Saccharomyces cerevisiae S288C: one gene and its partners. Changing the gene in region 1 together with any one later gene gives a genetic interaction. Each region holds a gene or a part of one and is shown on either strand. Other genes may lie near its edges. The genes, in order: SRY1, HXT5, TDA3 and ALT2.

Region 1 (8,206 bases):
GGGATTGACATTCTCCCAAGAAAACTCGTGGATGTGCAGTAAGGACGTAAATCTCGTTAAAGCATAACTTTTAATGGACGCAGCGCTTAGGTTTGGCTTATCCTCTTCATCTTCCTCATACTCTACACCTTGATCCTGGCTATAAACTCTTTCCAGCAATTCATCATCTCTTGTATCCTGAATTGATTGTGCAGGCAGTGATGGGTTATGGTATAGCTTTTCGTGATCCGGGTTGTAAACTTCCGGCTCATAATTTATAGGGTTACCTTCTCCGTCCACTAGAGGAGGCTCTGCAAATGTACTTGTGTTATAGTATAGTTTTCTGCCAGCAGGTTGTTGCTGTTCACCAGATATTTTCTCATCTGTAATTGACGACGACATATTTTCAGTAGCAGTATTTAATCTCTTTGAGGAAAAACTTTTGAAACTGTTACTCTTCTTCCTTTTAGATCTAAGGGAGAAGGACTAGACAACTTCCAAAACTATTTCTCAACAATGATGTGCAATGTATTTATACATCAAGAGGGTACTTCACTTTGCTGATTTTTTTTTTTTTTTTTTTTTTTTTTTTTTTGGTAAAGGATAGTACCATAGGAGATAGTAAGTGTTACTTAGATCTCCATCCAAATGACCAGGTAACGTTCTAATGCATTATAGTAGAAGGGGGGGCAAAAGACCGTTAAGTGAAGAATTATGGACGTCCGGATGGTGTGCAGAAGCTTACAAACTAACTTCCTGGTGGAGAATAATGGTAGGCTTGGCGGCTCTGAGATGGAGAAATAGTTTCAAGCCGCGCGCTCAATAACTTCCTCGATCACTGACTTTCGCACCCATCTGGGAACGGTACGGCGAATAGTCTTCATTTAATTGGAGCTGATCGAAAATGCTTGCTGCCGCTTCAGCGTGAATGACGCAGGTGCTGCGTTTGTCCTGTGCCTCCTTTTTTTTTTGGAGTCCGTTTGTCGGCTATTAGCTCTTGGGCTCTAACCCCAGGAAAAGGAAAAAGAGAAACACGCCGGTCTAGTGGAGTAAATTGCGGGGTCAGGATCCCGCGCGGATATCGGCCGTTCAAAGGGTGAAAAGAAGAAATCATTGGAGTCGTTGCGAGTCATTCTTTACGAATCTAATTTCTCCAAATTTTTACAGGTATTCTTAGCCGCCCAAGGTAGCATACAATGACCTTCTATTGCAAAAATGTACAGTGGAATGTAAAAACAGTGGGGACAAACCTGTGGAACACTAAGCGTGGGGGTCCATCCACTTAAACTAAATCGTATTGTTTAAAAGTGTGCAAGCATTGCGATAACGTTCGATTAGACTCTGAATGGAAGACAATGAGTTGATTTTGCTACCAGCAAAAAAAATAATTTATAAACACATTATTCTTGCAATATTTTTCATACTGTGCGTTTATACCTTTTGAAAATTATAGATCCATTTATATATTAATTAACATCCGAAACAAAAGGAAAGTGCGAGGACCGGCCCACCCGATGACTAACGGGAAAGTGGACATGATTTGCCATTTGTACGGGTAATATTTACATATTATTTGATGTGCTTCTTTGGATTGTGTGCAATCACTTACTTCACAGTGTCTATGTAAGAGATGTGAGAGTGTAGCTCGGAAGGTGGAGACATCTCCTAGATCTTGTCTGGCTTCGTTGGGGTAGCCATGAGAAGTTTTCCATTCCCCCGGGTCATGCATGCTGCCCGAGTCAAATAGCGTTTAACTTTGACTCGTACGCCATAATAGGTTATGTTTTATCTTTGGTCAGGGACCCCAGTATTGAGAAAGTAACCTAGGGATGCTACGCCCCAGCTTTACTACGTGGATGATACAGTAAGCACATACATATTGACGGCATCTAATCGTTCTAAACGGAAAAATAGGCGCTGATTTGATCCACTTCGGTTAGGTAACCGCTGATGCCAACGATCTAGGGCCCTTCCATTTTAGGAAAAAGGGTATATACTCTGATGCCCTGTCTGGCCGAACATTCGTATATGTGGATGTATCGTGATCCGTTCGTATTCAATAAAAGTGTAACGATCTCATCTCAAGTCAAAAGTGAGAAGGGAATAACTAAAAAAGAAAAACTGATATTTTGACGTGACGTGGTTTATTAGCAAGTATGTTTCAACCATTCTCAGCGTAAACCCTATCACAATAACGTCTCTATGAAAAGTTTAACATTTTGTCTATCTCGGTTCAATCAGTTGAATAGCGAACCTTATAGCAAATAGCATTTTCAATAAAAATGTGACATACAGACTTCCACTTTTCTTGCTTTTCTCATGCTCTGTGTGATGCTACTGTTACCGCGGCACCACATTTTGGCATACGTCGGGACATTGGCGGCTGAATAGATTATACCCGTCGCCCTTTTTTCATCTCTCCTTTTCTTTTTGTCGTAAGCAAATTACAGAATTGAATATTTGAATAACCCTAAAAAAAATGCCACTCCCCTAAAAACAAACCAGATTAAGTTGCAAGAAATAGACTGATTGGAACATACGGGTCCTATTCAGTGCTCAATAAAAATTAAAATAATGTGATCAAACAACCCGAGACTATTCTTGAATTAGCATTAGCCACTATAAATTTTAACATTTTTCAGAGTCTTTCGTGCGGAGACCGTAAATATTAGCATTGACCTTGTCAATGAAGTAATTGTCTTTGATTTTAACCGTGTTAAAGATTTCGCAAAAGAGAAAGCTTGCTGGCTTGGAGCAGTAACTTTTTTTGATTTTTTTTTACAAGCACACATGCTTTTGCCTTTAGAATATTACGGCTCCTCATGTGGATAGTAAAAACTTGACCGTTGCATCTGTTCTCCTTCGAACAAAGAATAAATCGTCTGAAAAATCACATAGAAAAATAATAGAAAAATAAAAAACATAGTAACATATTTTAAAAGAGACCTTTTATTGAAGAAAATTTGGCGATAAAAATGATTATAACATTGAAATGACGAAGAAAAGGACAGTGCCCGAATTCTCGATTCCAATAAAAGGCGAAAAATTACAATCGCCAGCATGTTTGGTACGGGGCGACTCGTGGCATTTTAAAGTACGCTGGCATGTTTAAAGGTATTAGTGTTCTTGGCGTGGAAAGTGCAGGTGTCTCACTTTTTAGAACGAACAAATTCAAACAATATACAACAATCCGCCGAAAACATTCCAGAAATTAAGATTGTTAAGCACTTTTGCTAAGAAAAAAAAAGGGCTCTCCCCTGTGAATTAACTCAAAGGTAGCGTGTTCTGCCTATGCAAGGTGACCGTTTTTGCAGATATTGTAGTGAGATGCTCTACAAAAGGGGTTTCCTAATCTAATCTTTTACCATATCAAAAATGCCCTAATATTATTATTAAAGAGCTATCAAAGCCTGATTCCTTAGGTATATGACTAGTTCCCGAATTAATGGCATTGATTCATTACTTATTTTATTAGGGGGATGATAAAAATAATGATATCTTTTTCTGCAGCGTCATTTAAGTACTGATTGAGACTGACAGTTGTGATAGAGATATTAAGTAGTAGAAACGGTCCATGAATTGTTCTTTGTTAATATTCTTGCTGAGGGAGGCTTTTCTTTTGGGCTGCTATGCTTTCATTCTACTTAAGCAACGAGATAGGAAGCTTCAAAAGGTGAATGGTGAAATGCTGAAGAAGATTTCGTCATTCCAATCCTCGAGAGTGCGACGTAAGTAGTGACTCTAATGAATTTTCTATGCCTCATAAAGCTTGAGGTATATTTATCCATACGCAAATAATACACGATCTAGGATTATTGTAGTATGTTATTGTTTGACAATATCCTTGGACAAGTTCTAATCACTTATATTTCCCAAACATGATTCGTGTATTTTGGCGTTAGAAAACGACGGCAAGTAAGCTCCCAACATTTACTTGACGAGTTTTTTGTCACTATCATCACGCCCTAGAGCCAAGTTATATTTTTATCGTAAATTCTGTAAATTAACAGTCATTCTAAGCAGGTTGTTTTAATATTTACAGGTAACTTGGCTGACTTCTTTTAAATGTGGCTTCTATGACAAAAAAACTGAAAAAAATGACTAATTAGTAAATTCAGCCTCTTATCATAAAATCAGGGTCTATAGGACGGTACGTGAGAAAAAGATAAGCTTTGGAATATAAAGAGTTACATTTTCATTCTGCAAAAATTCAAATAAAGGAGTATTGAAAAAAAACTTAAAAAGTACAAATAATTAATATAGTTCGAGATATTTAGTTTTCATTGAGTTGGAAAAATGATTGTTCCCACTTATGGAGACGTTTTGGATGCCAGCAACAGAATTAAAGAATATGTAAATAAAACACCGGTTCTCACTTCACGAATGCTTAATGATCGACTTGGAGCACAAATATACTTTAAAGGTGAGAATTTCCAACGAGTGGGAGCGTTCAAGTTTCGTGGAGCAATGAATGCTGTTTCAAAATTAAGTGATGAAAAAAGAAGTAAGGGAGTAATTGCCTTCTCATCAGGAAACCATGCACAGGCTATTGCTCTTAGTGCAAAACTATTAAATGTACCTGCAACAATTGTTATGCCCGAGGATGCGCCCGCCCTTAAAGTTGCTGCTACAGCCGGTTACGGAGCACATATCATAAGGTATAACAGGTATACTGAAGATCGCGAGCAGATTGGGCGTCAACTAGCAGCCGAACATGGTTTTGCATTGATTCCGCCCTACGATCATCCTGATGTTATTGCAGGGCAAGGTACGTCGGCAAAAGAGCTATTAGAAGAGGTTGGACAACTTGATGCATTATTTGTTCCTTTGGGCGGTGGTGGGCTCCTTTCAGGATCTGCACTTGCCGCTAGAAGCCTTTCTCCAGGCTGCAAAATTTTTGGGGTTGAACCTGAAGCTGGTAACGATGGACAACAATCCTTCAGATCGGGTTCCATTGTTCATATCAATACGCCAAAAACTATCGCAGATGGCGCTCAAACACAACACCTCGGTGAGTACACATTTGCCATTATTCGCGAAAATGTCGATGATATTTTAACGGTTAGCGACCAAGAGCTAGTAAAATGCATGCACTTTCTTGCGGAACGCATGAAGGTGGTTGTTGAGCCCACAGCTTGTTTGGGATTTGCAGGTGCACTTCTAAAAAAGGAAGAGCTAGTTGGGAAGAAAGTAGGCATAATACTAAGTGGAGGTAATGTAGACATGAAGAGATATGCTACTTTAATCTCTGGGAAGGAAGATGGCCCAACGATTTAGTGTATACTTTTGAATTTTGAGTTCAGTTTTATAGTGAAGAATTGGAAAGCTTTAGTTGTCTACTTTCACACGGCATATATCATTTGACTTAACATTAATAACATGGTTGAGATTTTGAAGTGAGTTCAGCAAAAAAAGCCTCTAGCTGATTTATACTCTGATAACTCTACATATTTTTCTACTAGTATTATATTTCACTGAACTGACACCCTTATGTGGGAAAATTTTTTGGCAGAATGATAGTGTGTGAGAGGGAAGAATACTGCTTATGTCAAACTAATAATATAACTTCTGACTGTGACTATGAGCATTACTGGTATATTAGTTTCTTTTGCATATTTTGAACTAAAACAGAAGAGCGTTCCTAGGCTTACACCCAGTAAAGACATAGCTTCTAAGTTGAAAAAACATATCTCTACTTCAATTAAAGGTAACTGTCATAATGTCCTATTTTATACGCAGAAAAAATTCTCTTTTCCACACACAATATCGTCTGCTCTTATTACTAATCAATCGAGATCTTGCATGAAGATATTTATGGTCCACAGGAAAGGATAAGCCTCTATTTTAAGGAATTATTACCTAACCAAGACCAAAACTGTAGAAATCCTCCTAAATTTAGTTCTTCACTTTTTTTTGATAATCATAATATGTGTCAAGATATTCGCAGCAGCCACATATATGAATACCAAGTTATTCAACAATTGAGTTTTAAAGAGCAACCCTGAAGGATAAATTAGTGTTTTACATTATATCCGTAGGAAAAAAATATGGCGATATACGTGACAGATCCCACAAACAATAAAGCATCAAGCAAGGTCACCAGGTCAGTTCTACCGCAGAAATTAACGATGTATTACTTAGTGCTCTTTTGTAGCAATAAATTCGCGTGAAATACTCAACACATGTATTGATATAACTTTCAACATGTTCCCTTGATTAACAGTAGACGGGAAAAGAGTTACATGGTTATGTTCAAAATGGATAGTTATGACCAGTACCAACTAACACTCAATATTCTTTTATGATTTGGAAGATCAAACTGTTGCACAATCAATTGGATTATAGTTTCTCTATTTCATTAATTATTATAACAACAAATTAAGTGAATTAAATATTGAAATATTATAATATAATCAGTTAATGGGTTTGACAATAACCATTTTTAATAATATTAGGAAAAGTAAGTATTAGGTTATTATTTATTTAATAATTTGAAAATTAAATAAATTAATATAATCTTATCATTTTTATTTATATATTATTTTATTATCATATTATTATTATTTATTATTTCTATATTATAATTTTTTTAAATTTTTATATCGTATAAATATTGATAAAATATAATTATTAATAATAAATTACAACATTTAAATAATATAAATAATTGAACTATTTTATAATAAAATATAAAAAGAATAAAAATTTCTTCTTTTTATATTTTATAAATATTACTATTTATTGCAATTTATTCTTATATTCATATTTTTTTGTTATTATTATTTATTTCTGTTAATATACTGGTTTTTGTTAACCAGAGGGGAATAGGAAAAAGAATAGTTGTAATAATAATAATAAGCGACCTTGTTTAGGCTATTCGCATCTAATAAACTACACGATCTATAAATTGAAAAGGCATGCTTGTTCCTACACGGGAGGCGCCTGTTTGCGGGTCAATTGCGCTTCTTTAATGTATGGCCATAGTTCCACGTTTAGAGGTCTATCAAACATAGGTTTCTTTGTAGATAGAAGGCGGTAAAAGAAGTGGTTAAAAAACCATTCACAGTCAATCCCATCAAAGAAAAACTCTTCACTAGTCCAGACTTTTTTCTCAAACAAGTACCTGTTCATTTTCTTTGCAATTTCGTCCCATCCATTCGCACCACTTTCTTGCTCATTTATAATCGTTGACAAGAACTGCATTTTGTCTTCCATGTGCATGGAAAAGGGCCTCATATTTTGAAAAACTCTTACCATAAGGAGAAAACCTCCCCCACAACACAAGATACGAAATAGATGGCCCTTATCCCATGACACATAGATACAAGCCAGAAACAGAATAAATGCTGGAAAAAGCCAGAGATTGAAAATCCTCTTGAGAACCCAGGTAAACTTATAACGATAAGTTTTCTTGGGGAGCTGAACATGTTCCAAGTTATCAGGGCTCCACACTTTCTCAGTATTGAACAACTTCCACTTTTTGTCAAATTCTGTGGAATAGACTTGCAAGGCCTCTTCGATGTAGGGGACAGAATCCCCAAATGATTTTATTTTCGAAGATTCATCTTTCTTCACAGAGAATGGTTCGAGAAGAACTTTTCTGAATGCTTTTTGACACTCTGCAGCATTGAAAAAGAAGTACTCAGTATTCCAAGCTTTATTTTCATAGAAGTAAGAATTTAGATTTGCCGCAACTGTTTCCCAATCATGAGTATCAGTACCTGGTGCATGTTCAACAATTTCTTTGGAGAACTGAGTAAGTTGATTCGTTAACACACTTTTATGAGAGAATGAATAAATATTGGGTAAAAATATCCCCACTAGGCATGAGACTAAAATACAAAGTTTAAACGGAAAAATCCGATTGATGGACTTTATCTGCGAAAGAAAACCTGGCAACCACATTAGCAGTAATAATAGCAACCAGGTACGAAACGTGAAGCACTTGAAGAACTCATAAAACATCCAGGTGAAGTTATCCATGAAAAGGTCTTGAGGCAGAACAACTTTCTGGGATTCGAAATGTTTGAGGGATAACACATCTATACTCCTATCTTTAACCCCATCGCCTCTCATTCTGATAGCGATATGCCAATTTGAGGACGGTATGAGGGGTTTGTTATTGGAGTTACAACTTCTGACTATTTGCATTTATATAGTCGGAAAGAAAAAGCCGCCAAGCGGGCGTATCATACATTGGCTTAGTTAATTGTAAAACTTTTATACG
Region 2 (9,066 bases), on another chromosome or scaffold:
CGATGAAAATCATTAATGACACATTGATAAAAATTAGTGGTTACATCTCCACCGACAAGTATAGTCACGTACCCCAAGTCTGTTATGGTTCTGCTTTACAAGCCGCAAAATTAGCGTTAGACACAGTAACTGGCGGGCAAGGTGGTAAGATTATTTGTTCTTTGAACAGCTTGCCAACGATCGGCAACGGGAATTTATCGCTAAAAAGGGACAATGCACACATTGCTCATGTTAAATGCGACAATGGGTTCTATAAGAAATTAGCATCGGATTTTTTGAAATCCTACATTTCTTTAGATTTATATGTGACCAATGCGGGATTCATTGATATGGCCACTGTGGGCCATCCTGTAGAGATGACTTCCGGTATTTTGAAATATTATCCCCACTTTCAACAAGAGACGGATGCCTTCACTTTGGTTAACGACATGGTTACAAATGTCTCCAATATTGTTGGTTATCAAGCTTTATTGAAAGTTCGCTGTTCTACTGGGCTATCTGTGGAACAGTACTACTGCGATTCATCTGATAATACGGATCATGATCCAATTATTCCTGTATTGACTAGAGATACCACCTTAGATGTCTTACTAAAATATGACAGTAAAATAAAAACAGGAACCGATGTTCATTTCCAAACTGCATTGTTATATACTGATATTGATGGTGTCAGAAAAGTTCGTTCTATTAACACGTCAGGTGCGGTATCTAATAACATTCGTGAAATTTTCAAGTTTATAAATCAAAATCCTGTCATGAGAATAATGATCAAAGATGTCATAAAGACGCTCGGTGATTGTGACTTTGTAAAGATCAGAAGATTAATTGATGACAAGATGGTCGAAATCTTGACCCAATATAGAGGATTGGTTAGCAGTAACTCATCAACGCAATTGATACTGCCGGATTCTATAAAGACATTGCCTGCTTACATGTTAGCATTTGAAAAAAGCGAATTAATGAAGCCAAACGCTCAAAGTACCCGTGGTAATGAACGAATTTATGATTTATTGAAGTACGATTCATTGAACTCAGCACAACTTTGCTACAAACTTTATCCACAAATTGTGCCATTCCATGTATTATTAGAGGAAACTGATCTGACCTTTTACGATGCTAATGATAAATTATTACAGATCAACTCCAGCTCTATTAATAATCTATCTGTAAGAGCCTCACACTCTAATTTCATTAACGGCGGTTGCTACTTGATTTTCCAAGGTGATACTATCTATCTATGGTTTAATGAGAACACCAATAGAATGCTCTTGCAAGACCTGCTGTCAGTGGATGAATCCTTGCCCGTCAGCCAAATTTCGTTATTTAGTGGAACATTGCCTGAGACGGGCACTAGTATTAATCAAAAGGCTTCAAACGTCATTAAAAACTGGCAACAAGTAGTCAACAAGTCATCATTGCCGTTAGTCTTGTTGAGGCCTAATGTTGATCAATATTACAGTAATGTGATGAGTCAATTGCTTTGCGAGGACAAGACCGTCAACAGAATCGAATCATATGACAATTACTTGGTGATAATGCATAAAAAAATTCAAGAAAAACTTCAAAAAGACGATTTCATTAAAGTCTCGACTGCCGCAACTCACGAAAATATCCATCAAAAATTTGTGCAGTTTTGAGCCTCGCTCAAAGGAGACCCTGTGCTTACACGCAGAAAACTGGAAATAACGACATATTGTTGTGGCTGTGGCCGATGCGGTTCGTATATCCATTACTAAATAATTAAATACGTAAATGAATGAATAGACTGATATGATTGTGATTTTTACGTGTTGGCTATATTGTGCCTTTCTGCATTCACCTGCGCCTCCTCATGTAGAAAGGCGTTGATCAAGGGGAATACAGGAGAAGTATTTTTGGGTTCGTGTTTTGGTGGGGTTCCAGCCACAGAAGGGCTCTCGGCAGCGAAACGCTGACTATGCTGAGAATACTGCCAAAAAAAAAAAAAAGGCAGTATGTGAAACGCAGGCAGAGAAAGGGTGAAATTCTACATAGGATGAGAGAATCTCATAATTACAGGGATAAAACTGTAGCTTTGCTTCCTCTTTTATCTTTATTTTTTCTTGACTGTCTTCTGGTAAATCTTGCAAAATTACTACTATTTTGTATTTCAGAAGCGTTTTTTCCAAAGAATACTATATCAAACAGACGCAAATGAATCAAACAGGAAGGACCATAGGCGGTCCTCAAAATGGCGTGAATACAGTGATTAACCCCTTCAGAGTTTCTCCTTCAGAGGACAGAGTATCAAGCAGGGATGAAACGCCCAGGAATTATAAGTATGTGTAGCTCCACTCCCAAAATTGCACTACAGTGTAACTAACAGTCATGACTACTTCAGAATACTAACTTAACTCTTTTTCTCCTTTCAAAATCGATTGAGATAATCCATAATTATTGCAGTAACCCATTTTTAAATGAAGATGACACTAGGAGGGCCCATAACAGTAGCGTTTCCAATTCTAGACAAGAAAGACTCCCATCATATGAAGAAGCTGCGGGGACACCGAAACAGCAAGCTCCATACCCAAAAGAAAAGAAACGCAGTAGTGGTTCAAATAGTCACCAACACAACCACCACCACCATCGTCGTACATCACACGGACATAGGGACAAAGATAAGCAGAAGAGCAAAAGCAGAACCAAGGTTAAGCCCCCTAAAAATGTAGACACTATTGACAAGATGGATGTTACAGGATTATTTGGCGGATCTTTCCATCATGACGGCCCCTTTGATGCATGCACTCCACAGAGAAATAAGAATAATAAAGTGGCGCCTGTACTGGCCTTCCCAGCAGATGGTCCAAATAATACAGTAGGCGGCCGCACAAGTAAGAAGTCTACCTTAGATGAGGTGTTTGGTAGGGAAACAGTAGACGACGATTCTGAGACGCTGAACCAACTACAAGATAGAGCATATTTATTCAATAAGGCCAATTCCAGTACTACGACTTTGGATGCGATTAAACCGAATTCAAAAAATATTACCCAGTTCGATTCCAAAATGAAAACTGAACTAGTCCATGGGCCCATTACGATGGGTCTAGGCTCAACGACGTTCCTGGATGGCGCACCAGCGTCTTCCGCTGCCATAGAGCAAGATGTTATCAACCACGCACAAGAATCTCGTAGGAAAAACAGCATAGCAAGAAAAAAGTCTCTCCCCTCAAGAAGACATCTACAAGTGAACAACAACAATTTAAAGCTAGTGAAAACACATAGTGGACACTTGGAGCAAAAGGACGTAGACGATAATAGAACTTCTGTTCCGGTCACTGCCACCCAAGGAAGCGGTCACGAAGATGTTGTTAAAAAGGAAAACACCGGCAACAAGCTATTAAGGAGGGTGAAAAGCTTGAAAACTAGTAAAAAGCACTGATCAATGCTTCTTTCTTGCGTTCTTTTTGTTGCGCCCATATATTATTTTATTTATTACATTCATATAGCAATATTTACCTTATTTTATTGGTTACTTTTCTATACGCAAAATCACTACACTATGTTATGTTAAGGTCTCCGATACGGGAATATACCAATCAATACTTATCACTTCGGATTTTTTATGGGTCTTATCCCCACTGTTCCATTTTCTTGTTTAAGGCATCCCGGAGGATAAACTAAAAAGGTGGCCCATCCCACCCGAAATGAAAGTAATCATCTGCTAGCAAAAAGTAAAGAAATGAGAGCATGCTGTGATGTACTGGTGGACGAAATTGTGACCCATACCCACCGAAGAAACATCCGCATGACGTGTTACTGTTACTTCCCGGATTAAGGGATGCATTCTAACTCTGTGCGCCCTTTTCTCTGCAGTTGATCCGCATTCCCCGTGGCTGTGCACATTAGGGGACAGTAAGTAATTCACTTTCTGATCCCGCACTCATAGCGATGGAATAATATACCGGATTTCACACCTTGTTATTGAGTGAAGTACTGCTTGGTGAAATGATATCTTTATGTTCAATATTAATGGTCGTGTGGATGAATATATGGGCATGGGTTAATTAGTTTTAGGGGCACGGAGTAAACAAGAAAGGAGGGCCAGAATCATTAGTAGAGTACCTCAAGTTTGGTTTCTTTTTGATTTCACGTATAAAAGAGTCTCTCTCTTTTCTTTTCATGCTAGTCGAACGGTTCTCCCTCTAAGAATAAGAAACTATCAAAAGAAAGAGAAAAGTCGATTGAATAATTTTTCTATATATAATATACGCAAACAAGATTCGCTTTCACTTTGCAATTTTACTTCATAGCTTTGTTAAAACCAGCAAAAAATATTATTTTTCTAGAAAAAAGAATATATTAGAGGTAAAGAAAGAATGTCGGAACTTGAAAACGCTCATCAAGGCCCCTTGGAAGGGTCTGCTACTGTGAGCACAAATTCTAACTCATACAACGAGAAGTCAGGAAACTCGACTGCTCCTGGTACCGCCGGTTACAACGATAATTTGGCACAAGCTAAACCCGTCTCAAGTTACATTTCCCATGAAGGCCCTCCCAAAGACGAACTGGAAGAGCTTCAGAAGGAGGTTGACAAACAACTAGAGAAGAAATCGAAGTCGGATTTACTATTTGTATCCGTCTGCTGTTTGATGGTTGCTTTTGGTGGGTTCGTGTTTGGGTGGGATACTGGTACTATATCTGGTTTTGTCAGGCAAACAGACTTCATTAGGCGATTTGGCAGCACCCGTGCAAACGGGACTACCTATCTTTCCGATGTCAGAACCGGTTTGATGGTTTCTATTTTCAACATCGGCTGCGCTATCGGAGGTATAGTTTTGTCAAAGCTCGGTGATATGTATGGACGTAAGATTGGTCTGATGACTGTTGTCGTCATTTACTCAATTGGGATCATCATCCAAATCGCCTCCATTGACAAATGGTATCAATATTTCATTGGAAGAATCATCTCAGGACTGGGCGTTGGTGGTATTACAGTTTTGGCGCCTATGCTAATTTCTGAAGTGTCGCCTAAGCAGTTGCGTGGTACTCTGGTTTCATGTTACCAATTAATGATCACTTTCGGTATCTTTTTGGGATATTGTACTAATTTTGGTACCAAGAATTACTCAAACTCTGTCCAATGGAGGGTACCATTAGGCTTATGCTTTGCATGGTCTATTTTTATGATTGTTGGTATGACGTTCGTTCCTGAATCCCCACGTTATCTGGTAGAAGTGGGAAAAATTGAAGAGGCCAAGCGGTCCTTAGCAAGAGCTAACAAAACCACTGAAGACTCTCCTTTAGTAACTTTAGAAATGGAGAACTATCAGTCTTCTATTGAAGCTGAGAGATTGGCGGGCTCTGCTTCTTGGGGGGAATTGGTTACTGGTAAGCCCCAGATGTTCAGACGTACACTAATGGGTATGATGATTCAATCTTTACAACAGCTGACAGGTGACAATTACTTCTTTTACTATGGTACTACAATTTTCCAGGCTGTTGGTTTGGAAGATTCATTTGAAACTGCTATTGTTTTGGGTGTTGTTAATTTTGTTTCGACTTTTTTCTCGCTATATACCGTCGATCGTTTTGGTCGTCGTAATTGTTTGTTATGGGGCTGTGTAGGTATGATTTGTTGCTATGTCGTCTATGCCTCTGTTGGTGTTACCAGATTATGGCCAAACGGTCAAGATCAACCATCTTCAAAGGGTGCTGGTAACTGTATGATTGTTTTCGCATGTTTCTACATTTTCTGTTTCGCTACCACTTGGGCCCCCGTTGCCTATGTCCTTATCTCTGAGTCGTATCCCTTAAGAGTACGTGGTAAAGCAATGTCGATTGCAAGTGCCTGTAACTGGATTTGGGGGTTCTTGATCAGTTTTTTCACTCCATTTATTACTTCAGCAATCAATTTCTATTATGGCTATGTCTTTATGGGTTGTATGGTGTTCGCATACTTTTATGTGTTCTTCTTTGTTCCAGAGACAAAGGGCTTAACATTAGAAGAAGTCAACGAAATGTATGAAGAAAATGTGCTACCTTGGAAGTCTACCAAATGGATCCCACCATCTAGGAGAACAACAGATTATGACCTAGACGCTACTAGAAATGATCCGAGACCATTTTATAAAAGGATGTTCACTAAAGAAAAATAATCTCTTGTAGTGTAGGATCAACTATTTTCGCATACTTGCAATGTTCAGCATTGCACCATTTCAAATTTTAATATTAATATTAATCGTTTTCGTTCATATGTTCATTCATAGTTTACAAATAATGCAATCATATGCAGAGATATTTTGTCCGTGGTTAATAGGGCTGCCTGTTATTCCTTTAATTCAACTAAATTACGTATGTCTAATAATATCAAAATCATCATGACGTTTTTGTTTTTTTTCTTTATTTTAAGTAGGATCAAACCAGGGGAGAAAGGGTTGCTACGCCTAACAACAAGAACTTGTATATCGTTTCTTGTTACTTATACTTTTCTGCCCACTTCTCTCTTACAACTGCTCGAGCTCATCCTTGGTAATAAAACAGTGAGGACGGTTACTCGAGGTTTCAACAGGGGAAAATAAATTTATATGATGAATCAAGAGCCCCGTTCTTTTACCGTATTATCCTTCATACTACATACTAGGGAAAGAACTGAAAACTCCGCTACCTGCTGTAACAGCGCATAATAAAAAGCAAGAATATAGACAGTTACTGTTGTTTACGTTCTTTGATGACATCATTCTCATCAGACATACAGAAACACATCCTTTTTGTCTACCCCGTATTTATTCCAACTTCAAAGTATAGGTACCGTCCGGTTATACTCTCATATACTTTGTGGCAGTTTGCTTCTTTAAACCTTGTTAACCCAGAATATTTTCAGTGCAAAAAGCTTCCGATCCTCAAATACAGTGAGAGAAAAAGCAAACTTGTCTTCATTATTTTTCTGTTTGGCCCTGTCACGGTTCTTTTTATGGCCTTCTCGAAGGATATCCGTAGTCAATTATATTCACGTAGTTGCCAAAAGTAATTTTTGGAAAACTATTATTCCTCCGAGAAAACCTCACACAGAAATCCTTGCAGGTCTCATCTGGAATATAATTCCCCCCTCCTGAAGCAAATTTTTCCTTTGAGCCGGAATTTTTGATATTCCGAGTTCTTTTTTTCCATTCGCGGAGGTTATTCCATTCCTAAACGAGTGGCCACAATGAAACTTCAATTCATATCGACCGACTATTTTTCTCCGAACCAAAAAAATAGCAGGGCGAGATTGGAGCTGCGGAAAAAAGAGGAAAAAATTTTTTCGTAGTTTTCTTGTGCAAATTAGGGTGTAAGGTTTCTAGGGCTTATTGGTTCAAGCAGAAGAGACAACAATTGTAGGTCCTAAATTCAAGGCGGATGTAAGGAGTATTGGTTTCGAAAGTTTTTCCGAAGCGGCATGGCAGGGACTACTTGCGCATGCGCTCGGATTATCTTCATTTTTGCTTGCAAAAACGTAGAATCATGGTAAATTACATGAAGAATTCTCTTTTTTTTTTTTTTTTTTTTTTTTTTACCTCTAAAGAGTGTTGACCAACTGAAAAAACCCTTCTTCAAGAGAGTTAAACTAAGACTAACCATCATAACTTCCAAGGAATTAATCGATATCTTGCACTCCTGATTTTTCTTCAAAGAGACAGCGCAAAGGATTATGACACTGTTGCATTGAGTCAAAAGTTTTTCCGAAGTGACCCAGTGCTCTTTTTTTTTTTCCGTGAAGGACTGACAAATATGCGCACAAGATCCAATACGTAATGGAAATTCGGAAAAACTAGGAAGAAATGCTGCAGGGCATTGCCGTGCCGATCTTTTGTCTTTCAGATATATGAGAAAAAGAATATTCATCAAGTGCTGATAGAAGAATACCACTCATATGACGTGGGCAGAAGACAGCAAACGTAAACATGAGCTGCTGCGACATTTGATGGCTTTTATCCGACAAGCCAGGAAACTCCACCATTATCTAATGTAGCAAAATATTTCTTAACACCCGAAGTTGCGTGTCCCCCTCACGTTTTTAATCATTTGAATTAGTATATTGAAATTATATATAAAGGCAACAATGTCCCCATAATCAATTCCATCTGGGGTCTCATGTTCTTTCCCCACCTTAAAATCTATAAAGATATCATAATCGTCAACTAGTTGATATACGTAAAATCATGAATTCAACTCCCGATCTAATATCTCCTCAGAAATCCAATTCATCCAACTCATATGAATTGGAATCTGGTCGTTCAAAGGCCATGAATACTCCAGAAGGTAAAAATGAAAGTTTTCACGACAACTTAAGTGAAAGTCAAGTGCAACCCGCCGTTGCCCCTCCAAACACCGGAAAAGGTGTCTACGTAACGGTTTCTATCTGTTGTGTTATGGTTGCTTTCGGTGGTTTCATATTTGGATGGGATACTGGTACCATTTCTGGTTTTGTTGCTCAAACTGATTTTCTAAGAAGATTTGGTATGAAGCACCACGACGGTAGTCATTACTTGTCCAAGGTGAGAACTGGTTTAATTGTCTCTATTTTTAACATTGGTTGTGCCATTGGTGGTATCGTCTTAGCCAAGCTAGGTGATATGTATGGTCGTAGAATCGGTTTGATTGTCGTTGTAGTAATCTACACTATCGGTATCATTATTCAAATAGCCTCGATCAACAAGTGGTACCAATATTTCATTGGTAGAATTATCTCTGGTTTAGGTGTCGGTGGTATCACAGTTTTATCTCCCATGCTAATATCTGAGGTCGCCCCCAGTGAAATGAGAGGCACCTTGGTTTCATGTTACCAAGTCATGATTACTTTAGGTATTTTCTTAGGTTACTGTACCAATTTTGGTACCAAGAATTACTCAAACTCTGTCCAATGGAGAGTTCCATTAGGTTTGTGTTTCGCCTGGGCCTTATTTATGATTGGTGGTATGATGTTTGTTCCTGAATCTCCACGTTATTTGGTTGAAGCTGGCAGAATCGACGAAGCCAGGGCTTCTTTAGCTAAAGTTAACAAATGCCCACCTGACCATCCATACATTCAATATGAGTTGGAAACTATCGAAGCCAGTGTCGAAGAAATGA
Region 3 (8,849 bases), on another chromosome or scaffold:
TCATCCGACGAAAGTGTTTCCGAACCAGCTTTACAAAATAAGAATTGTATAGAAGCGACAGTAATGCAGTCCAAGGAACGCCCTAATGACAAGATCATACCAACCAAAACCGAAAAAAACGATTTTGGAATAGGCACTCAATGGTTTGAACGCAAACAAATATCAAGACCTACACAAACTACACAATCAAGAGGACCTACAGAAGTCCAAAATCTCAAAGAGTGGTCAATAATATCTCCCCCAATTTTGTCACCCCAAAATGCATCTTCTGTACCACAAGAGTATCAATCATCAAGATACACATTGCATATGGATTCTCCAGCATTATCCTCTGCCTCCTCAGCGCTATCTCCACTTTCAGGCGATCCAATAACAACTACAGAAACAAATAAGTCATACCCATTGGATTCAGAGCAATCGTTGTTGGAGCCAGACAAAACCGAGGAGGACGCAATCAATCAGTCAAAGGAAAGCAATATGATTTCCATTAATGAGATGTTACAGAAGCAAATGGACTTTGAACTTCTGGGTGAGAATCATTTGAAGGAGACTCAAGATTATCTGGCCCTTTACAAAAAAGCTTATGGGATAGAATTTTAAGGTTAATTCAGGTATTATTTTTATGGCGGTTTCAGGTATTTTACGTAATATTATTATTATATCATTTTTGTAGCAATATATTATTTTTAGCGGTGCTTTATAAAACAATGGATACTAAGGATGGTTCAATTCACTCATCATTTGGATTTATCACTATAAAAAGCAGTAATGAATCTTATATACATTTATTTCAGTGAATCCATATTTAAGAGAGCTTCCTCAGTGACCCCTCCCCAAAACTCCTCTCCTCCTGGGCCCTCTCTTGATTAATTTAAATTGCAAAAAGATTTACAAGTTTGCGAAAAGACTGCTTTATTTCCGCTTGGCCTGTGAGCTGTGTGTTCTCTCTTCTAATCCAGTAGGCATGTTGCATAAATAAACCTTATATTTGATGTTGTTTTAGAAATGTAATCTATATATAATTTCGTAGTATAAATATTTATAAATAAAGAAGTGAAACCATACCACTCATAAATAATGCGGGATGGTTGTCCAAGTTTGAAAGTAACTAAAGAACATAACTCGATGTCATATCAAACGTACTGGCAAATAAAATAAATCATTGGAGATGGATGAGTGTGGCGATAAGGCCCACGTGAATGTACAACTTCTCTCTTTTTCTGTTTTTTTTTTTTTTCTCAGTTACAAACCTTAGATCTTTTGTTCTGGATTTCTCTTTTCCCAGATGATCTTGGCTGGACCGGTTGGAAGAGTAACCATAGATGTAAAGTCAGGAGGTGGAACGGTCTTACCCTCTGGGTAATGCCATTTTAATGTTCTGATAAAAATGGACATTAGAACACCTAGCTGACAGTAAGCAAAGTGTTCACCGATACATCTGTGTCTACCACCACCGAAAGGTAAGTATGGAGAGCTGACACCCTTAGAAATGGCACCGAAACCGTAATCGACTTCTTCACCGACGGAATAAGAGGAGGCAGAATCTTTGTTCCAACGGTGAATGTTGAATTGGTGAGCATTAGGGAAGTATTCGTCTCTTAAATGAGTGTAACCTGGAGAAACCAAAACGTGATAACCTGCTGGGATGACATAAGAAGTGTTTGGAACGTGCATATCTTTCATAACCTTACGGAACAAAGAGTGCAATGGATGGTGCATTCTTAGAGTTTCCTTAATAGTTTGGTTCAACAATGGCATTTCTTGTAATAAATCGTAGGTCAATTCCTTCTTACCACCATCCAAAACACGCATTTGTTCTTCGTACAATTCTTGTTGGACATCTGGTCTTTCAGCCAAGTGCAACAAAATCCAAGCAGAAGTGGCAGCAGAAGTATGTTGACCACCCATTAAGACACCAATTAACAAGTTAGCGATTTCTTGATCAGTCATCTTCACACCATCCTTGTAGGTAGAGTTCTTCATCAAGGAATCGATCAAATCTCTGTCTTGAATGTCGTTGTTCTTTCTTCTTTCCTTAATCAAAGACATGTAAGTACCGGAGATAGCCTTTTGAGCGTGATCTCTCTTTCTATAGTGTTCCAATGGTAAGTTAGGGAAGACGAAGTTGATTGGAGTGAAACCCTTATCCAAATCACTGTACAAGTAAGCAAAATCGGTATCCAATTTTGCTCTCATTTCCTTACCCAATAATGATCTTGAAGCGGTGAAAATAGTCATTTCAGGTTGAGTAACCATCACGTCAATAGTACCAGTAGTTCTTTCATTCAAACGGAAGTTTTTGGAGTCTCTGAAGTACTTGTACACTTCTTCAGCAATCAATGGAACGTAGCTCTTGAAGGCTTCTTTGGTTAGAGCACCCTTAACAAACTTCTTTTGCTCCATCAATCTAGAATTTGGACAATCGTAAATAACACCTTTACCGAAAACTGGAGTAGTCAAATGAGCGTAAGCAGCTTCTGCTGAAACATCTGCCAACTTAGCGTTGAAGACAAATTCGTGACCCTTTGGTCCTAAATACACAGTCATGACTCTTCCTAACAAAACGAATGAAAAAATATCACCGTATTTCTTTTGACATTCTTCGAAAAACTCGTATGGCTTCATACCGTACACAACAGCACTACCGACCCATGGAATCCAGTAAAACACTAGAGGTGGACGGTCCTTTCTCAAAGAATATAGTAATTGCCATACAATATTGTAAATGAAAGGAATTATTATGATCAAAGAGATTCTTTGGGCCAATGGTAAAGCCAAGAAATGACTTAAACCAATGTTTACGTATTCCAATGCCTCTCCAACGATTGACTTGGTAGCAGACATCCTTGTATTACTCGTTTGTTCTGTTTCTATTCAAGCCTGCTGCAATTGTGAAGGAAAAAAAATTTTTTCTGGAAACTATTAATTAATATAATGAAAAATTATTACTTCCTATCGAAAATACACACGCTGAACGATACTGCTTATCAATCTTTTTATAAATAATTTACCAATAACGAAAAGGGAAAAAGGAAAAGGGAAAAAAAAAAAGACATTGAAAGAGAGAATTAAGAGGGAATAAGAAAACTAAGGGAAAATACGCTATCTTATATAATGAATACACATGGAGGGCAATTTTTAGAGGCTTTTCGAATACATGCGAGTACGTAAACGTCGTTAACTCGTGGAGATGCACAATAGGATGTGCTCATACCAAGAAAAAAAAAAAATTCAGGCATAAAATCGATGTCTCCTGCAAGATACCTACCACACTTATTGTGTTCTGCAAGAGACTATTGTCATCTGAAAAGCGATTATCTTGAAATCTTAGTTTCGTTTCGTTTCGTTTAGGGCCAGCGCTTCGTTTGTCTCGTTTTTCGTGGATTATCGGCCTTTAAGATTGTCCAACCCGGCAAATCTTGCACGCACATTGTATGTGCGCTGCTCGTATAGTATCCACTTCGTGTGACATTACTATAATCGTACGGCTTAGTCGGGAATAAAGGCTGGCCTCATTTTCGTACAGAGACATTTTGCCGGAAATTTCGTATTTTGCTGTGCCCCCGGTAATTCCCGGGCGCGGCACAAAACCTCTCTAAACAACCGCCCATTGTTGCAATTGTTCGTCTGTACGGGACAGGCGGCGATCATAACGTCGCACGGTGCACAGCAATTGCCGTTTTCGGAGATCTCCCTGAGTAAGCAGTCGTTTACGACCTTAATGGCTTTACAATTATCGGTTGGAACAATAACAAGAACAATTGGTTCTCTGCCTGGTGGTGAGTTAATCTGGTGGGAATGTAGTGCACAGGCGCGAGTAACGTAGGAAGCGAGAGAGAACAAGGAAAAAGAAAAAGTGGAGGAAGGTTGGTTGTATTGTCTTTTTCGGTTCTTTTCTTTTCTTTTTTTCTTTTTTTACGATGCATGTATATGTATTTTAATAGTAAAATATATTATTAAATAGGGGAGTGTGGTTGTGTGATTTAGTAGAGTAGTTAGAATAAAAACGACACAGTGGAAAAAAAAAGGTATTTTCTTTCTTTCTTTCTTCAGATCTTGCCAGCATCGAATCTTCTGGATGCTTCTTTCCAGTTGACCACATTCCAAATGGCTTTGAAGTAGTCGGCTTTCTTGTTTTGGTACTGCAAGTAGTAGGCGTGTTCCCAGGCGTCAATGGCAACTAGAGGAACTAGTGGGCCTGTGACGGTATCCTGGTTGTAGGTTTGAACAACGTCCAGCTTGCCTCCATTAGAGAGGTTTTTCACAATGAAGGCCCATCCGGAGCCCTGCACGCCTGCTAGCTTTGTGTTGGTCAACTTAATCAGCTCGTCCAGACTGCCAAACTGCTCGTCGATTGCCTTTGCCAAAGCGCCGGTGGGTGGTTCACCACCGCCCTGCGACTCTGGAGCCAGGTTTTCCCAGAATAGACAGTGGTTTGTGAAACCACCGCCATGGAACTTGATGTTTTGTTGGATAGCAATCATTTTTCTTGCGTTTGCGGGAGAGGGCTCCTTGGCCAGAAGATCTGAGAGTTCTTGGAATTGGTCAACAGCAGTGTTGAATCCGTTCACATAAGTTTGATGGTGCTTGGTGTAATGCAATTCGTTGATTTGACCGGAGATATAAGGTTCCAATGCACCGAAGTCCCACTTCAAGTCTGGCAAGGTGACTTTGGTTCTCCTTGCTGTGGTGGAGAGCAATGACAAACCACCCTTCTTGGTTAAATTAGCAGCTGCTGTTTTCGCGAACATCCTGGTACGTTTTTAGGAGGTATAGTTATCAATTGGGGTTTCGTTCCTGTAGCAGCAAGTGAAAAGCAATCGCTGTAGCTAGCTTGTATATTTTGGGGATGCAACGCTCTTATATACAAGTTATAGCTTCTTCATCAGGGGTGTCTGCTACGGTCGCGGAAATTTTTCGGCACATCCCTACTTTTTTTTTTGCGAAGCTAGTGGTTCGGCCTGTGTTATTGGTCCAGGTTTAAGGTCGCGCCAACAATGATAATAGCAATTAGTAATCAGCTCAACCTCAAGTAGAATACTACACGTGCAATCGGTAGCATGCGCAAGGGCAAACAGGATAGACGCCAAGAGAGAAAGAGAAAGAGAGAGAGAGAGAGAAAAAAAAAAAAGAAATATATAGATTTAGGTATTCGTTAAATATATACACATTAAATGGCCTCAGAAATTTTAAATATATAAATAAATAAGCTCTTATATGTACAAATTTGTGCATATACTTTTCTTGACCTTTTTACTCCTCGGCTTGATTAAGAAAGGATGGTGGCGTCGAAATATAACTTTGGATCCAAACTTGAGATTTCCGCAGAGGTTGCTTCGCCATCAAGGAGAATCTCAGCCATTAATTTACCTGTTGCTGGCGCATTGTTAATACCCCAACAAGAATGTCCACTTGCAATATAAAGATCCTTGACATTTGTCTCACCAATTAAGGGACCAGAACTTGTAGGAACGTTTAAAACTGGCAAAAAACAGGCTTGTTTCCGCAAGAGATGGCCCTTTGATAGAGTTGGCGATAATTTGGATACGTAATGGTACAATTCATCACACTTCTCCGAAACTACCTCCACATCGTCCGAACTTTCAGGTATATTGACTAAAGTGTCGCCTTCGCCGCACACATAAACTTCATCTTTTCTAGCATACATTTCAGGGGAGAAAAATTCACGGTCGTTAACTTTTAGTTCAGCAAGAATAGCGTAAGGTGAAACTGTCTTTTCACTAGGCTTAATGGTGACAGAGTGGGCTCTCAATCCAGAAATTGGACAATCTTTTAGAATCTTGGAAGTCCAGGGTCCCATACTCAAAACAATCTGCTGGATGTCATTGATTTCAATGGGCTTCGCGTTCTCATCGTTGAAGATTGTACCCAGCTTAATGTCTGGATTTTCTGCATGCCCTCTGCTATTTCTGCGATTCTTGACGACAGATGGAAGGTACTTAAGAGAATGAACACAATCCATCTCGTCACACTTTAGCCCAACTACCTTACCTAGGAGAAGATCGACAGCACCTGTTTCCATTGCCTTCGATAAGATGAAATGGGTGAATTTATAGGGATGAAGCTGCGCTGTGGTATCAGTACCACCTAGTGATGACCAATCATTAACCAATTCTCTTCTTATCCAATCTAAATCAGCAGGCAAAGGATTATGGATATTAGTCTCTCTCAGTTGCTCCACGGGACTTACAGAGTCAAGATCAGATGCGCTATTTGTGTGGCTTCTCATGCGCTCATTTGTTAGAGAGTGTAAACTGGGTACTGAGCTAGAAACATGAATGTCTGATCCTTCTTCCTCGTTACTAGCGGAGTCGTTTTTCAAAGAAGAGCCCGAAGAACTCAAAGATGAATTAGAGTCCCCGATGTTAAACTTGTTGGATATGTAGCCCGGTCTCTTCTTTGGAGGAGGGACATTCAGATTATATGCCTTCTTGCTCAGTCTTTCGTAGTTTTCAATGACTTCTTCGCGAACATCTGCTTCTAAGGACACAGTCGTCAATCTTCTGTAGTCCCAGTTGTTTTCTCCATCATATTCATCACTCAACTCCTGATGTAGCTGGAAACTTAAAGGTACGATTTGGTGAGGGAAAGCCCAAGATGCAAGCAAGCCACCTGCTTTACCAGAAGCCCCTCCAGCAATGCGCCTCGATTCAATGATGGTAATATGATGCGTCGAAGGGCTGAAACTTGGATGCTGGGTCAAGTAGTAAGCAGTACAGCAACCGATGATACCGCCACCTACAATGACAATATGTTTTTTCCCTTCGCTGTTCTTTGAAGGGTACGTTTGAAACGGTGGGTGCATAAAATCTTCACCCATTTATAAACACTATTCCTTCTGTTGCTTGGTTAAAATGCTATTGATACTTAGATGGTGTATTGGAGAGCACGAAAATCTTTTGCTGAGTGACTTGAACTATCAAACAGAATTACTTGTTGGCTGATTTTTTTTAAGTCTTGATTTAACAATAGAAAAAAAAAAAAAAAAAAAAGGAACAATATAACTTTTGTAGTACGTGTGCCAGGTTACAGATATGGTTTCACTTCTATGTCGTGCTTTTTTCATTCATACGTAATCTTATGCATGTAGGGGATAGACGCACAAAAGCACCAAGGCTGCATGTATTGATAAATTGGCTTACACGATTCCAGCTAAGGGGACTCGGACGGAACCGTCTCATATTATACGTTCAGTGAATATTTTTCACGGAAGAATGGAAAGGGCCTCGAAAGACGTTAATGCATCCGTACACCTACATCTTTACATTTTTTGCTGTTGCACCTACACTGTTTTTTTTTTTTTCACCTTATGAGTCCTGTATTTCTTGAAAGAGCCGATAACAATATTCCAGGTGGAGTCCCGAGGCAGAATCAAGGCTGCGGAGAGAAGTTCCTCTCAAACTAATGGGAGTGATCCGCTCAGTTCTCCCATCACGACAGAACTGTCTGAGACAAAGTCTTTCCAGCAGAGCTCCGCCTACGCTCTTGCTGCAGAGATTCGCCCGAAGGCAGGTTTCCTGAAATTCTTTTCACTAGTAAAGTGTTCGTTCATGTAAAACATACTGCCGTAGTTTTGAGCTAAAATTAAAGATATATTAGATTTTTAGAATTTCTTAGATAGTCTCAACGTGTTAAAACAAAAGCATAACCAAAGAAAAAAATGGCTAAGTTCTTGAAAGCTGGTAAAGTTGGTACGTATCATTTTCAGTTTTTGGACATCAACAAAAAACCGTGCAACTGTGGTATTAGAAATCCAAGTTATTAGCAGTTGATGTTGTATAATTTGAGTTTGAATTCGAGTATTGTATCTTCATATGGGAGTAGGGAGGAAAAAGCGTGGAGATGTTAGATCTGGGAAAAAACCTTTAAATTTGAATGATAGCTTATTAATAGAAATATTGGACAAAAAGATGAATGATTTAGGAGCGAAACTAACGATTATTCATATTCATTGAGCTATACGAGGCAGTGGAAGGGTTATCAAAAAGTTGTAATTTAAAAGAAAAAAGCATCAATAGCCACCAAATAAGATGGTGAAAGTTCCGCGATATATTTGCTAAGACCATAGGCACATGTACGCAGGCGACCAGGGCCTTTTATTTACTGTAGTTCTTTCCATGCCCTATTAAAAATTCGTGGGCCTATGATAATTTTTCTCTCCCTAGTATTGAAGAACAAAATTGAGAATTCGCCAAACTTTAAGAAGGGTTCACATTTACTAACTATTTCTTTTCCTTCCTTTTTTTACACAGCTGTCGTTGTCCGTGGTCGTTACGCCGGTAAGAAGGTTGTTATCGTTAAACCACATGATGAAGGTTCCAAGTCTCACCCATTTGGTCACGCTTTGGTTGCCGGTATTGAAAGATACCCATTGAAGGTCACCAAGAAGCACGGTGCCAAGAAGGTTGCTAAGAGAACCAAGATCAAGCCTTTCATCAAGGTCGTCAACTACAACCATTTATTGCCAACCAGATACACTTTAGATGTTGAAGCTTTCAAATCCGTTGTTTCTACTGAAACTTTCGAACAACCTTCCCAACGTGAAGAAGCTAAGAAAGTCGTCAAGAAGGCTTTCGAAGAAAGACACCAAGCTGGTAAGAACCAATGGTTCTTCTCTAAGTTGAGATTTTAAGAGAATTGCATTATGGTCAACCAAAAATCAAAAAATTATTAGTAATATCAACATATGTATATTTAATGTATGTAAACAATGATTAAATATTAATAAAATATATCTACATATAAGTATACGCAAATGGGGTTTTTCTTCAAAAAAATTGTTTGCTGGTGTTTTCAACCTTAACGACAAAACGAATCATAACGCGGTA
Region 4 (5,974 bases), on another chromosome or scaffold:
TACTGTTCTATTCCAACGTTTCTCAGTGAGTTTCTCCTGTAGTTATTTCACTTGTTGTACCTCACAGCTTCTACGGGAAAATTGGCTTTTCAAATTCCTTACAGCTTTCGATCACGTGATCCGAGCTTCAAATGACCTTTCGACGATGCGTTTCATGATTATGTATATATATGTATATATATATATCTATACAGTCTTAAGGAAGCGCTTAAGTTGTTACATGTTAATACTTTAGGGTTGGATTTATTTTACGGATAACATAGGATTTGCGAGAAATATCTGCTTCACTATCACTTTCCGTGCGACGTGTGTATTTGTTAGCGTAGGTTGCTTATCGTTTTCACACAAAGATCTCAAACGCGTCAAAAAACTCGTGTAAGAGGTCAAAAAGAAAAACAAACAAAATAAACAAACAAAATAAATGCAGCTTTAAATCAATATTCGGCGAAGGCAAGTAACGGTTGCTAGCGGTTTTTCCCATTCACATACTATTACACTTCTGCGGTACCAAGCTAGATTAAGTGCTAGATAATAAACCTTTATGATGCCAGCTAACGAAGATAAAGAGAATAATATCGTATATACAGGGAATGAAAGTTCCGGCATTAACTTTCCACAGACGCCGGCTCACTTGCTGAAAAGGTCGCACTCTAATATTTTAAAACCACCTGTAAGATTGGACCAACTCAAAAGGGATGCGAACAGCAACAATGGCAACACATTAAAGTACATACAAGGAGGGAAGGAGGTGTCACCCACAAAAAGGTTGCATACCCATGCGCAACAACAAGGAAGATTGCCTCTGGCAGCAAAAGACAACAATAGATCGAAAAGCTTTATTTTTCCCGAAACTTCTAATCAGAGTAAAGATGCAGACTTACCACAACTACAGAATACACTATCTATACGCAAAAACGACCAACTCAGGAAACTTTCGCAAATTTCTCGCAGTCGTAGTAGGGCCAACCATAATGATTTGTTAAGCAATTCAAGAAAGTTACAAAAGTACGGTTCTGTCCTTGGTTATAATGCTTTACCTAAAATGAAAAGTCTAGTTTTAAAAGATCTTGCAGATTCAGGTAAAAATGAAGAGAGTTCCGACGATGATGAAGGTAATGAAGATTCCGAGAGTAAACTTGGCAAAAAACTCCAAAGTGCACTTTTAAAACAGGATTCCTCCGACGGTGAAAATGAATTAAATGGTGGCCTAGGACTATTTAATGAGCAAGGTGGTCTGCAACAACTCATAAAGAACTCCACGAAGAATGAGCAAAAAACTAAAAACGATAAAAGTGATAAAACTGATGACTATGATATCGAAATAGCACCACAGAGGCAGGAGCCGTTACCGTATGTACCAGAAGGCTATTCCCCATTTCAACAAGATGATATTGAAAAGCTGAAGACGTTCAACTCACCATATAAGCTTGACTTGGAAGACGAAGATGACACCCCAGATAAAGTTGATTTACTCCCACTAGAACAAATTGATGAAGAAGGCGAAAAAGATGAGACTGAGTGCATCACTCGGAATCAAGAAGAAGGTGCAGCGTTACCACTGCTGTCTAAGAACTTCAAAGAAGTTGCCGCCGTCCCAACCATGGAGTTAGTGTACAGCGAAGAAGGCCTCGATCCTGAAGAACTAGAGGACTTAGTTACTTAGATCCACTGCTCATTCACATACACACAACATATATACACGTATATACAGATACTTTATAACATACAATTCTGGTTAAAAGCGGTTGCTCCTGCCGCCGGGATTTAATCTGCGGCCTCACCCATACCTCAACTACCGCCATTGTTCGTACGTTTTAAATGGCTTCGCTTCACCCTTGATTGGCAAAGGGTCCAAGAGGGATCACATCACGATACTATTGTTTCTACTAATGTGCTGCGGGCTGATGTCCTCCACACGTCTTCAATTGCTTCTCTTTATGGGTTCTCAAAGTACTTCGTCATAATTACTTCATTATACCTAAGAAAATAATTTCATTTTTTTTCTGAATTTTTTAGCAGAAAAAAAAAAAGTTCAAGTTTGGCCTCATTCGCAATATTTTCTCCATGGAAACGGCTTGTATCTTGAGGCTTCTCCTACTTGTTTGGCGATTTTATTTTATTTTTCCTACTCTTATGGTCCCATATGTACATCTACATATCTCTTCAAATTACCAATACACTTTTAGGATAGCTAAATTTACTACTTCGTGTGGGAACTATATTCTGTTCACTTTTCTTTTTGATCCTTTCTTGACTGACATCATCCTTTTCTCATTCAGTAAATACCCCAATATTTCCTCATATCTCTAGAGGCATAAAAGATAAGAATAAAGGGAAGGAGCGCCACAGTAGTGTTGTTTTTGTAAGTGGTAAACACAGAAGAAGTAAGAACACATGACAATGACACACCAACAGGATTTGAAAGGTGTGTTCACCGCAAAGGATTTGGATTTTAAGCCCGCTGGCAAGATTACTAAAAAAGATTTGAATACAGGTGTCACTAAGGCAGAATATGCTGTAAGAGGAGCTATTCCAACCAGAGCTGACGAGCTAAAAGAGGAATTGAAAAAAAACCCAGAAGTTTTGCCTTTCGATGATATTATCAATGCGAACATTGGTAATCCGCAGCAACTGGATCAGAAGCCTTTGACCTTTACCAGGCAAGTACTGGCCATCCTGGAGTACCCGGAAATTTTACGAGTAGGCCATAATGAACTGGCTTCTTTGAACTTGTTTTCCAGGGACGCCTTGGAAAGAGCTGAGCGCCTCTTGAATGATATTGGCGGTTCTATAGGGGCATATTCGCATTCTCAAGGTGTGCCAGGAATAAGGCAAACAGTTGCTGACTTCATTACTAGAAGAGACGGCGGTGAGCCCGCTACACCGGAAGATATTTATTTAACCACTGGCGCTTCGTCCGCGGCAACTTCTTTGTTATCTTTATTGTGTAAAGATTCTCAAACAGGCCTGCTGATTCCAATTCCGCAGTATCCGCTTTATACTGCATCCGCATCTCTTTTCAATGCACAAGTGCTGCCATACTACTTAGATGAGGAGTCAAATTGGTCTACAAACAGCGACGAAATTGAAAAAGTAGTGCAAGATGCTTTGAAAAAACAGATCAGACCATCTGTGCTGATAGTTATTAATCCAGGTAACCCAACCGGTGCAGTTCTTTCTGAAGAAACCATTGCCAGGATCTGTTTGATCGCTGCGAAATACGGCATTACAATCATTTCTGATGAGGTCTATCAAGAAAACATTTTCAACGATGTTAAATTTCATTCGATGAAGAAAGTCCTAAGAAAATTGCAGCATCTTTATCCAGGAAAATTCGATAACGTTCAGCTCGCCTCTTTACACTCCATTTCTAAAGGATTCATGGATGAGTGCGGCCAAAGAGGCGGTTACATGGAAATTATTGGGTTTTCTCAAGAAATAAGAGATGCTCTTTTCAAACTCATGTCTATATCCATATGTTCTGTTGTCACAGGACAAGCTGTGGTTGATTTAATGGTCAAACCACCCCAGCCTGGAGACGAGTCCTATGAACAAGATCATGACGAAAGGCTGAAAATTTTTCATGAAATGCGTACGAGAGCAAACTTATTGTACGAGACGTTTAAGGAACTAGAGGGTATCGAATGCCAAAAACCTCAGGGTGCAATGTATCTTTTCCCTAGGCTTGTTTTACCTAAGAAAGCTCTTTGTGAAAGCGAACGCCTTGGCATCGAACCTGATGAGTTCTATTGCACATCTTTGCTAGAATCTACAGGTATTTGTACTGTCCCAGGGTCTGGGTTCGGACAAAGACCCGGGACTTATCATGTGCGAACAACGTTTTTGGCTCCAGGGACTAAATGGATTCAAGACTGGAAAGAATTTCATCAAGATTTCTTCAGCAAGTATCGTAATTGAATGAAAAAAAAAAACTAATGATAATGGCTTTCTATTTGTTTTGCATCCATGGTGGGGGTGAAGTTTAAATTTGTAATAGTATACATGCATCATTCTTTACTAAGGGAAATAAGGAAAAGTATATATCTGCCTCTTGTAATATTGTTCAAGGAAATAAATTTTGGAGCATTCCTCTGCATCTATTGTTCAATTAAAAAAAAAAAAAAAAAAAAAAAAAAAAAAAAAAAGTAATTATTCATATAAAACCACCTTGCGGGCAAGATCATATTATCCAAGTTGATACTTATTTAAAAATATAAAAATTTTTTAACCGCGTACATTAAATACAGGGTCATATACAGGAAGAGCTTTCAACACCTTTTTGAATACTTTATATGCAATAGGTGCTTTTTTTTTTCACCTATGGTGACTCCTCCTTTCATTCTATCCTACATATTATTACAATTCCATTGATGTGCCAAAGTCTCTTGTTTGATCTCCATTACCCTGTTGGTCTAATTTCTGTCGTTTTGTTGACGGCGATTCCAGAGTTTGATAGTAGGAAGTTTCTGGTCTAGTTATTTCGACACTTTGATCTACTTGTGATGCACCGTCACTTTCTTTTTGATCCCCTTTTTCAGGCTCTTCTGTTCCCTGCATTGGGGCTGCCACGCCGGTGGACTCTATTCGGTCCTCATCGACATTATGAGGAGGCTTTTCTTCGGGAGTTAAGGTATTAGGTTCAAATTCGCCCTCTGAAGAATCATGTGCCAAATCATCATACTCATCGATATAGTTTTTTTCAGTTAGATCAAATTGTTTTTGCACTTCTTCTTCAAAGTTATCATTTCCTATATTGTTATTATGAAGAATTCCATTATTGTTACAGCTATTATCCGCTTCATTAGCAAGGGCAAAAGTATTGACATCTTCCAAATATATAAGACCTTTTCCACCTGCCATCTTGAACATATTACGGGAATATGTGTTTTCTATAACCCTTTCTCTCTTAGTCTCAAACTTGGCATTGTGACCTGGAACTTCACTAAGTAGTACTTGCACAGGTTTACGTTTCGTTCTCTTATTTCTCCTTCGGTTGAATCTGTAAGGGCCATATCTTAGGCACTTACCCCAATCGGCTAGACATTCCTTCTTATAACTATTTAGAGCATACTGAATGCACAGTATACCCCCAGTATGAAATCTCGCAGAACTCTTCAAACCCAAGCCAATACGGAGACCGTATTTTGATGCAATTTCTTCACAAATATCATAAAGATCATCTTTATCTAAAGTGCTTGATGTTACGAAAATTGGAACCCTAGCAAATGTTAAAAAAAGTGAGGAAACAACTGGGATAAGATGTTTGAATTTGGTACTCTTAAGTGGTAATAACCACATAAAACTAGAGCGATAGTCTCGGCATAAAAGGACATAAGAATATTTTCCCTCAATAGCTTCTCCATTGAAGGGTTCGAATACCTCAATATGTATCCTTTCCATTGGTAGTAGTTTATCGTACATGTCAGGACGTTTATATTCCTTCAATGGTTTAATTTTGCCCTTTTTATTACATTTTGAACAAAATTGCTGGACCCAATCGATGATGGCATGACTAATATTGGCAAAATGAGAAAATAAAAAGGAATGTAATGTTTTACCCCTAAGATGCTTATTCATCAAGTGTGTTGCCATCACCATGTCGTATACATGCTTTGGCTCACAGTATATTTTATCATTATTTCGGCCATCTCTAACATTTCCTTCATCATCAACATAATACTGTCTTTGCAAAAATAACAGCTTGTTTTCTGCCACTACACCATCGTATTTATCACTTATTTGTTGCAAGGTATCTGCAGTTAAAGATTTTGTTTTTATTAGTTCATATATTTTCTGCGTTAGTTGTCTTGTCAGAGATTCAAGAAAGATTGGTGTTTCTCTTTCTCCCCTTTCCAATAATTCTAAGTTCAAATAAGAGTCTACGTACTCAGTATATGATTCCCCCATAGAGGGAAGTATCAGTAGACGATCTTTTGAGGACTCTCTTGATTCCCCAGGTGACGTTGCCTTTCTT

What was found.
Region 2: mutations in SRY1 (region 1) and HXT5 together harm fitness more than expected from each alone (negative genetic interaction), as found in Saccharomyces cerevisiae (2 studies listed by BioGRID).
Region 3: mutations in SRY1 (region 1) and TDA3 together harm fitness more than expected from each alone (negative genetic interaction), as found in Saccharomyces cerevisiae (2 studies listed by BioGRID).
Region 4: mutations in SRY1 (region 1) and ALT2 together harm fitness more than expected from each alone (negative genetic interaction), as found in Saccharomyces cerevisiae (2 studies listed by BioGRID).

Annotation. Positions count from the first base shown.
Region 1 is NC_001143.9:14,409-22,614, reverse strand, and holds SRY1 (threo-3-hydroxy-L-aspartate ammonia-lyase SRY1), read left to right. Parts: upstream 1-4,275; coding exon 4,276-5,256; downstream 5,257-8,206. Other genes in the region: JEN1 (monocarboxylate/H+ symporter), read right to left, coding at 1-381; COS9 (Cos9p), read right to left, coding at 6,907-8,130. UniProt on the Saccharomyces cerevisiae protein: Catalyzes the deamination of L-threo-3-hydroxyaspartate to oxaloacetate and ammonia. Shows a high specificity towards L-threo-3-hydroxyaspartate as other 3-hydroxyaminoacids, i.e.
Region 2 is NC_001140.6:291,716-300,781, reverse strand, and holds HXT5 (hexose transporter HXT5), read left to right. Parts: upstream 1-4,334; coding exon 4,335-6,113; downstream 6,114-9,066. Other genes in the region: SFB3 (Sfb3p), read left to right, coding at 1-1,637; PAL2 (Pal2p), read left to right, coding at 2,173-2,297, 2,422-3,397; hexose transporter HXT1, read left to right, coding at 8,157-9,066.
Region 3 is NC_001140.6:118,840-127,688, forward strand, and holds TDA3 (Tda3p), read right to left. Parts: upstream 6,842-8,849; coding exon 5,270-6,841; downstream 1-5,269. Other genes in the region: STP2 (Stp2p), read left to right, coding at 1-600; ERG11 (sterol 14-demethylase), read right to left, coding at 1,252-2,844; YHR007C-A (uncharacterized protein), read right to left, coding at 3,711-3,926; superoxide dismutase SOD2, read right to left, coding at 4,050-4,751; 60S ribosomal protein eL27 RPL27A, read left to right, coding at 7,682-7,712, 8,274-8,653. UniProt on the Saccharomyces cerevisiae protein: Putative oxidoreductase that negatively regulates the retrieval of cargo from late endosomes to the Golgi. Regulates YIF1 and KEX2 localization. Required for fast DNA replication.
Region 4 is NC_001136.10:676,185-682,158, reverse strand, and holds ALT2 (alanine transaminase ALT2), read left to right. Parts: upstream 1-2,394; coding exon 2,395-3,918; downstream 3,919-5,974. Other genes in the region: YDR114C (uncharacterized protein), read left to right, coding at 1-235; PDS1 (securin), read left to right, coding at 542-1,663; replication fork barrier binding protein FOB1, read right to left, coding at 4,357-5,974. UniProt on the Saccharomyces cerevisiae protein: Inactive alanine aminotransferase. Forms a catalytically active Schiff base with PLP, but lacks alanine transaminase activity, probably due to an altered structural conformation of the dimeric enzyme.